2 linked regions of the Sus scrofa genome follow. The protein of the gene in region 2 interacts with the protein of the main gene of each other region in a biochemical or structural test. Links are inferred from orthologs where the notes say so. Each region holds a gene or a part of one and is shown on either strand. Other genes may lie near its edges.

Region 1 (4,245 bases), on a different chromosome or scaffold from region 2:
AAAACCGAGGAATACAGGACCAAACTTAACAGCTTTCCTACCAGAGAAGTGTGGCACGGAGGCCCACAGGTTTTGTTAAAGTCATTGTGAATAAAATAGCCCCTACGCGCCATCACAGGCATTGAATCCCCTTCCTCGCATCCCCAAATCTAAGACCTCCCTCTTTTGGAGCGCTGATTGGACGAACAGCCTGAGCGCTTTCCAGAGGCTGCTCGCCTACTGGCTCCCGATTTGGTCCATCCACCTAACCGCCCAACTCCCGCATCCCCCATTGGAGTCAAATCGTGGCCTCTTGGAGGAGCCCAACCTACCGCGCGCTTCGTGCTCATTGGCTCAGTGAGATGCTGCTCAGGAGGAGAAAGCCCGCCTCCCACATACCGATGGCCCAAGGACCGATGAGTCGGCAGCTAAGGACAGCCCCAATTGGCCTATACACTCGCCAGTCAAACTCTTCCGCTGCAAAGCTCCACAGAACCTACGGGGATAAAACATCCCGCCCCCGTTCTTCCATTGGTTGGCCGATCTCACCGCTCCCCCTTCACGAGCCCCCACCCCGAGGTCCATTCATTTCACACAATAACGGGCCCAGTTGGAGTCAGTTCAAGACCTCGTATGGGTAGGCAAGATGGTCCGCCACTTACCGGGGGTCGAGACCGATCACTCACGCTAACGCCTCGCCTGTTCCTCTGTGGTGCGGCCGGACCACAAGCCACCGCCGCCGCCGCCTTCTGCGCAACGCCAACCGCCCGCCAAAACGGATCCTTCCCTGCGCCTGCGCGACCAATCCTGGGACCCGACCCTTTCCCCGCCCATTACGCCTGCGCAAAAGGGGGCACAACTCCCGCCACTACGCAGGCGCCTTAGGTTCGCCGCTGTCTCCTGCCCGCCATTTCACGTGTTGCAAGCTCCGGGCGGAACTTCTTAGCGCGCCTGCGTAAACTCGCCATTTTACTACACATGCGCTCAGCAGGCGATCTTGCCCCCGCCCCCGTTCCGCCAAATTGTCACATGCTAGCTACTTTTTTGATACATAGTATTAAAAATGCTTTGACACAGGCGTTGAATATTCCGGACATAGCTAATTAAAAAGTTATCTCAATACCCGAAATAATTCAAATATGAATCATTGGTTGACCAGCCAATCAGTCTAGTTAAGAATAATATTACTTAGGAACCAATGGACCGGGAGGGGTTGAGACTGCGTAGAACGCCCAAACGGATGACGTTACACAGCAACGCATACGAGAGACCAATAGTGGGGGAAAGCTATGTCAAATATCCAATCAGAGCTACTCAGGGGCGGAGTCTACCAATGCCGAACGCGAGGAGGCGGGATAAAAAAGCGAGGCCGAAGGTAGGCTGGCAGACTCGTTCGTTAGATTACTCCTTTCTGCCCCCGGACGCCGCCGAGTAAGCATCGTTGTAACCTCCTCCCCACTACCGTCATGTCTAAGTCAGAGGTGAGTGAGACTCTTTTTTCATCTGCGTTTTCTTCTTCGCCGCTTGCTGAGTTTGGTAGGGTGCAGTCTGGTTTGGCTGCTTGCACCAGCCTTTTCGGCAGTTCTTCGGTCGCTGCCGGGGCCTACCCCTCCCTGAGTTCAGGTCGCCATTTTGTCCTCGTCGCCATGAGGCTGTCGTCGTGCAATCCTTGGTTATCACGCTGCTCTCGTTCTTTTTTGCAATGCTCGTGGACACATTCGGTCTGTTTTTCATCCTTGTCCTAGTGGACGACTTTCTTAAAGAGTAGCTGTAGTCCAATTTTGGCGATGCACGCCCTCCCAGTCCTTTTGTTGCGCGTGCGTCGTAGGGAGAGTAAGGGGCGCATGCGCTCGCCGCTTCCCAGCCCCCAACATACCGCCTCCCCAGATGGGGAGAAGCACGTGGCTTACAGCGACCCGAGGGAACAATAAAAGCTTCGTACGTTGCTACCTGGTGTTGCTTCTTGTAGCGGGGAGCTTGTTTGCGTTATAGCCCTATTTAACGCTTTTTTTGCCCCTACTTCTAGTCTCCCAAAGAGCCCGAACAGCTGCGGAAGCTCTTCATCGGAGGTTTGAGCTTTGAAACAACCGATGAGAGTCTGAGGAGCCATTTTGAGCAATGGGGAACGCTCACAGACTGTGTGGTAAGACTTGGAAGAGACAAAAGGCCTTAGAGCTAGTTGTTTTTCTTGGCTTATCTCGCTGTCGTTGCTGTTTGAATGCTTATGAAGATTCCTATTGACTTTATAGCTTACTTGACAAAGGAAGGTGTGGCTTCATAGCTGAAAAGCTCCCAATTGTTAGGTTTAAGGGGTGGGGGCGGTGGTCATTGAAGAGCTTCGTTTAGAGGGTTGGTAGAAAGTTTTCCATTGCCTTAGTCAAGGTAGAAAAGGCTGTAACTTCTGGTGTCTTACCATGTGCTAAATAAACATTAAAGGTAATGAGGGACCCAAACACCAAGCGCTCCAGAGGTTTCGGGTTTGTCACGTATGCCACTGTGGAGGAGGTGGATGCAGCCATGAATGCAAGGCCGCACAAGGTGGATGGAAGAGTTGTGGAACCAAAGAGGGCCGTCTCAAGAGAAGTAAGTGATGTTTTTCTTGTGTTTCATCGACTGGAAATGTTCGATTAGCAGGATTCACTCACATTAAGGGGATGTAACAGACTTAGTATTAACATGGTCTTAGGATTGTTACTATTTTCTCCCCCTTTAGGATTCTCAAAGACCTGGTGCCCACTTAACTGTGAAAAAGATTTTTGTTGGTGGCATTAAAGAAGACACTGAAGAACATCACCTAAGAGATTATTTTGAACAGTATGGGAAAATCGAAGTGATTGAAATCATGACGGACAGGGGCAGTGGCAAAAAGAGAGGTTTTGCTTTTGTAACTTTTGATGACCATGACTCCGTAGACAAGATTGTCAGTAAGTAGCAGGTGGTTGGCATTCGCTAAGAGTTCTGAAATCCATTTGTGTCCTAAACTCTGAGATGGTGTCTTACTTTCAAATTTTTCAGTTCAGAAATACCACACTGTGAATGGCCACAACTGTGAAGTGAGGAAAGCCCTATCCAAGCAAGAGATGGCTAGTGCTTCATCCAGCCAAAGAGGTGAGTTTGTTGCTTAATTAAACCTTAAGCATCATTTTGAATGATTTTAACCGGTACAATTTAACGTTAACATTTTTTTCTTCAGGTCGAAGTGGTTCTGGAAACTTTGGTGGTGGTCGTGGAGGTGGTTTTGGTGGAAATGACAACTTTGGTCGTGGGGGAAACTTTAGTGGTCGAGGTATGTATGGTTTTTTATTATTTTAACGCTTCTTAGAATTTAGGCTTAGAAGGGTGTGATTTGTATGCGATCCACATACTTCAAACCTGGCTTTTAAATTCTGTTCCAGGTGGCTTTGGTGGCAGTCGTGGTGGTGGTGGATATGGTGGCAGTGGGGATGGCTATAATGGATTTGGTAATGACGGTAAGTTTTTTTGTTTTTACTGTTAAAATTTTGTGTGTGCGTGTGTGGGTTTTTTTAGTTCGTTTTGTTGTTGGATTTTTTTGTTTTTTAAGAAACTACAGGTAAAAAGTTTGACTACTTTTAGAATAGGCTAGTAGATACTAAAACTTTAGTGCATGATAAGTTCAAGTTTGACTCTTACAGCATGTTGTGAGCCGGCCTTTAGCCATCATGCTTGCACAGAATTTGAATGTTGAATACTTGTGTCTTATTGAGAAGAATTGTATTCTTGTAGGTGGTTATGGAGGAGGCGGCCCTGGTTACTCTGGAGGAAGCAGAGGCTATGGAAGTGGTGGACAGGGTTATGGAAACCAGGGCAGTGGCTATGGCGGGAGTGGCAGCTATGACAGCTATAACAACGGAGGAGGCGGAGGCGGCTTTGGCGGTGGTAGTGGTAGGTATCCAGTGATCCAAGTACTTGGTGCAAATAGCTAGCTTAGCCATATGGGAACTTGATGCTCTCTAGGCATAATGTGTTTTACTGCATGGTACTTTCTTTTAATGGGCTTGCAATGCTACCTCCTCCTAGCTTTAAGCTGGGGCCGCCTCACTCCCAAATAGATTAAGGGGGATAGTGGTGCCTACAGTTAATCGGGATTAGGTTAGCTTTTATTTAGGCACTTAGTTGATGTATCCAGCATGTGTTTGCGGTGCCCCTGGATGGGTAACAACAGCCTTCGAGGCTAGAGACTATACTACTTGCTCTACCATGGTGAGTCAGGGGTAAATTTCTAGCTACTGGATTATTCAACTGAAT
Region 2 (3,737 bases):
CTCTGGTGCAGCCAAATAAATAAATAAACAACATGACCAAACGATTATATACAGGCTGGATAAACAGCAAGGTCCTGCAGAGAGCCGTGTGTGATATCCTGTGAGAAACCATAAGGAGAGGGGACCTGGAAAAGAACAGGACTATGTATGTGTATAACTAAATCCCTTTGCTGTACCCCAGAAATTAATACGACACTATAAACCCACTATACTTCGGCAATGTTTTTAAAACTACAAAAACACGGAGTTCCCGTCGTGGCTCAGTGGTTAATGAATCTGACTAGGAACCATGAGGTTACAGGTTCCATCCCTGGCCTTGCTCAGTGGGTTAAGGGTCCAGCATTGCCTTGAGCTGTGGTGTAGGTCACAGACGCGGCTCGGATCCCACATTGCTGTGGCTGTGGTGTAGGCCGATGGCTACAGCTCCAATTCAACCCCTAGCCTGGGAACCTCCATGTGCTGCAGGAGTGGCCCAAGAAAGGGCAAAAAGACAAAACAAAAACCTGCAAAAACACGCGACCATGGCTATGAATGGCAAAACCTTCCATCACCTAATCCCTGATCCACACACAGTCTCTGCTGCCGCCCCCGAAAGAGCCCTCGTGCGGAACCAATTTTAGAACCAAGTGGCTGGGGTGTGGCTTCAGCTCGCAGAGCCCGATGACGGCTGCCCCCAGTCCAGCCCCCAGCCCCCTTCCTTGAGAAACCAAGGGCAGCCCCTGAGGGGGGACTCCAGGCCCTGTCCCCCGGGGCGGGGGACCCCCCCCCCCCCGCGCCGGGGCTCCTCGGGGCGGCGGCACGAGCGCTGTGTGGCCCGCAGTGGTGACCATCATCAAGGGAAAGGTGGAGGAGGTGGAGCTGCCGGTGGACAAGGTGGACATCGTCATCAGCGAGTGGATGGGCTACTGCCTCTTCTACGAGTCCATGCTCAACACCGTGCTCTACGCCCGCGACAAGTGGCTGGTGAGGCCCCCGGCCAGCCGGGCGGGTGGGAGCCCCGGGCCCGCAGCCCCGGGAGGCGGGGGGCGATGGCGCAGAGGAGCCGGGCCCTGGGGCGGCGGGGTGGTACCGTGCCAGCAGGAGGTTAGGGCCAGGAAGAGGGGTGGGGGGAGTGCCTGTGGTCCCAGGGGAGGTGCCAGGTGTGAAGGGAGGATAGGAAGGCGCTCCCTAGGATCTGAGGAGGAGAGTGCACTGGACAGGGGATGTCTGCCAGGGCACCGGCCCTGGGGTGGCAGTGCGCTGGCTGCGGCTTGAGCAACGGGGAAGCTGCAGCGCGGTGAGGCTCTGGGGGAGCAGTGAGGCTCTGGGGGAGCATTGGGAGGAGACGTTGGAGGAGTGGGAGGGGCCTCCACACCTGGGAGGCCCTGCTTTCCTCCTCCAGGGAGCCAGGGAAGCTTCTGGGGAGCCCTCAGGACCTCTGGAGTACGGGGTCTGACTTAGATGCTCTTGGGAGCCATCAGGCAGCCCTCCCGGGAGTTGGTGAATGGCTGGGAACCAGTGAGGGGCCGCCGCCTCGGGAGTCCAGGGCGGGGCAGGGGGCCTGGATAAAGGGATCAGGCAGGCAGGGTTCAGGGGCAGCGTCTCCGAGCCCCTGTCACCGGTCCCTTCCCGGCTCCTCCGCAGGCGCCCGACGGCCTCATCTTCCCAGACCGAGCCACGCTGTACGTGACGGCCATCGAAGACCGGCAGTACAAAGACTACAAGATCCACTGTGAGCTCGGGGCCCGCAGAGCTGGCGGGATGGGGCGGGCTCAGGCCCCGCACCCCCAGGGCTCACCCTTCCTCCTGGCCTCCTCCCCAGGGTGGGAGAACGTGTACGGCTTTGACATGTCCTGCATCAAAGACGTGGCCATCAAGGAGCCCCTGGTGGATGTGGTGGACCCCAAGCAGCTGGTTACCAACGCCTGCCTCATAAAGGTGCGGGGTCGGGGGGGGTGGCTGGTGGTGGCCGAGTGTCCTGAAGGGTCGGAACCTGGCCCGTGGATGGGGACATCAGGGCCCAGAGTGCTTGCTTGCCTGAGGCCTCAGGAGCCTGTTGTGTCCACTGCAGATGGCACTAGACACTTGGAGAAGCCACTTCATTTAAAAACCTTTGTGAGCCAGGCATGGCCCTTGGGTTCCAGAATGGGGTGGTGAGAGGGGCTAGCCCTGCCCCCCTGGGCACCCCCCCTCCCCCAGGCAGGCAGCAGAGACCCCAGGCAGGGCCACCAAATGCAGGAAGCCCAGGGCCACCAGCAAGTTTATACACACTTGGGTCCCTGATAAAGAATACTGGCAGCTATCCTTTTTTGAGGTCCCCCCACCCCAGCATCACATCTTGCAGGGATGCATGAGGCAGGCAGAACTGGGTGGAGGAGGAGGGAGTTTGCAGAGGGAAGCAGGGGTGGTGGCAGATGCCCTGACCAGGAGAGCCTCTGTGACCTGGTTCGGTGCCGAGTGTACTGGGGCGCAGTCAAGAGTTGTAACTAGGGCTTTGACGTGGATCTGGTTGCTGCTGTTTTTAAATTGTCACACTGGAATCAGGGGTCCGTGTGGGGGGAGTGGCAGGGAACCCTGCTAAGATGCCGCTGCCGGGGAGAGGGGATGGTGGCTGGGGCAGTGGAGCTGTGTCAGCAGACAGCTCTCCAGGGAGCAGCGTGGCTCCAGGAAGTCGGAGGGTCAGATCAGGGGGTTGGGGGAGAGGGGAGCAGGGGACCCAACAGGGCCCCCCAGGTCTTTCGGCAGGCCCCTGGGCTGGAGCTGCGGGACTGGGGCTCACGAGGCTCATCCCACAGGAGGTTGACATCTACACAGTCAAAGTGGAGGACCTGACCTTCACGTCCCCCTTCTGCCTGCAAGTGAAGCGGAACGACTACGTGCACGCGCTGGTGGCCTACTTCAACATCGAGTTCACCCGCTGCCACAAGAGGACCGGCTTCTCCACCAGTGAGGCGGGGCCCGGGCGCTGCGGGGTGGTGGGGCAGGTCCCACTGTGGCAAGGGAGGGAAGGATCTGACTGCAGCAGCTCGAGTCGCTGCAGAGGCGCGTGGTCAACCCCCAGCTTGGTGCAGTGGGTTAGGAGGATCCAGTGTGACAGCAACCGTGGCTCAGATTTAATCCCTGGCCCAGGAACGTCCATATGCTGTGGGTGTGGCCATTTAACAAATGAAAAAGGAGTTCCCATTGGGCTCAGCGGTTATGAACCCAGCTAGTGTCGTTGAGGAGGCAGGTTCGACCCCTGGCTCCCCTCCATGGGTTAAGGATCCCACATTGCTGCTGTGGCTGTGGTGTCTGCTGGCAGCTGTAGCCTGGGAGCTTCCATATCCACGGGTGCGGCCATTCAAAAAAAAAGGCAAAGAGAAGAAAAAGAGCGGCCAGGGGGACCCCGAGGCCCCAGATTACCTGCCCAGGAAACGGCCCCTCTCCCCAGGCTTGCCGAGGGTGAAGAGACTGTGGTCCCGGCTCCGTCCGCAGGCACAGGGGGTGGGGTGGGGGCTGGGGGCCGGGTCGGGGGGGTGCCCGGCTGACCCGCCTGCCCCCCAGGCCCCGAGTCCCCGTACACGCACTGGAAGCAGACGGTGTTTTACATGGAGGACTACCTGACGGTGAAGACGGGCGAGGAGATCTTTGGCACGATCGGCATGCGGCCCAACGCCAAGAACAACGTGAGGCTCGCGAGGAGGGGGAAGGGCTGGGGGGGCCCCCAGCACCCCTTACCCCAAGCCCAACGGCGGACTTGGCTGCCCTCTGCTATTCTA

The links.
Region 1: of the proteins of PRMT1 (region 2) and HNRNPA1, one has a biochemical effect on the other in vitro, tested with the Homo sapiens proteins (3 studies listed by BioGRID, with this or other methods). The link is inferred for Sus scrofa from reciprocal best matches to the Homo sapiens genes PRMT1 and HNRNPA1.

Annotation. Positions count from the first base shown.
Region 1 is NC_010447.5:19,483,732-19,487,976, forward strand, and holds the start of HNRNPA1 (heterogeneous nuclear ribonucleoprotein A1), read left to right. Parts: upstream 1-1,445; coding exon 1,446-1,460; intron 1,461-2,005; coding exon 2,006-2,122; intron 2,123-2,415; coding exon 2,416-2,562; intron 2,563-2,692; coding exon 2,693-2,903; intron 2,904-2,994; coding exon 2,995-3,087; intron 3,088-3,172; coding exon 3,173-3,265; intron 3,266-3,374; coding exon 3,375-3,449; intron 3,450-3,723; coding exon of another isoform or gene 3,724-3,882; intron 3,883-4,245. UniProt on the Homo sapiens protein: Involved in the packaging of pre-mRNA into hnRNP particles, transport of poly(A) mRNA from the nucleus to the cytoplasm and modulation of splice site selection.
Region 2 is NC_010448.4:54,725,319-54,729,055, forward strand, and holds part of PRMT1 (protein arginine N-methyltransferase 1), read left to right. Parts: intron 1-820; coding exon 821-963; intron 964-1,623; coding exon 1,624-1,711; intron 1,712-1,801; coding exon 1,802-1,917; intron 1,918-2,774; coding exon 2,775-2,925; exon of another isoform or gene 2,926-3,522; coding exon 3,523-3,644; intron 3,645-3,737. UniProt on the Homo sapiens protein: Arginine methyltransferase that methylates (mono and asymmetric dimethylation) the guanidino nitrogens of arginyl residues present in proteins such as ESR1, histone H2, H3 and H4, FMR1, ILF3, HNRNPA1, HNRNPD, NFATC2IP, SUPT5H, TAF15, EWS, HABP4, SERBP1, RBM15, FOXO1, CHTOP, MAP3K5/ASK1, MICU1 and NPRL2.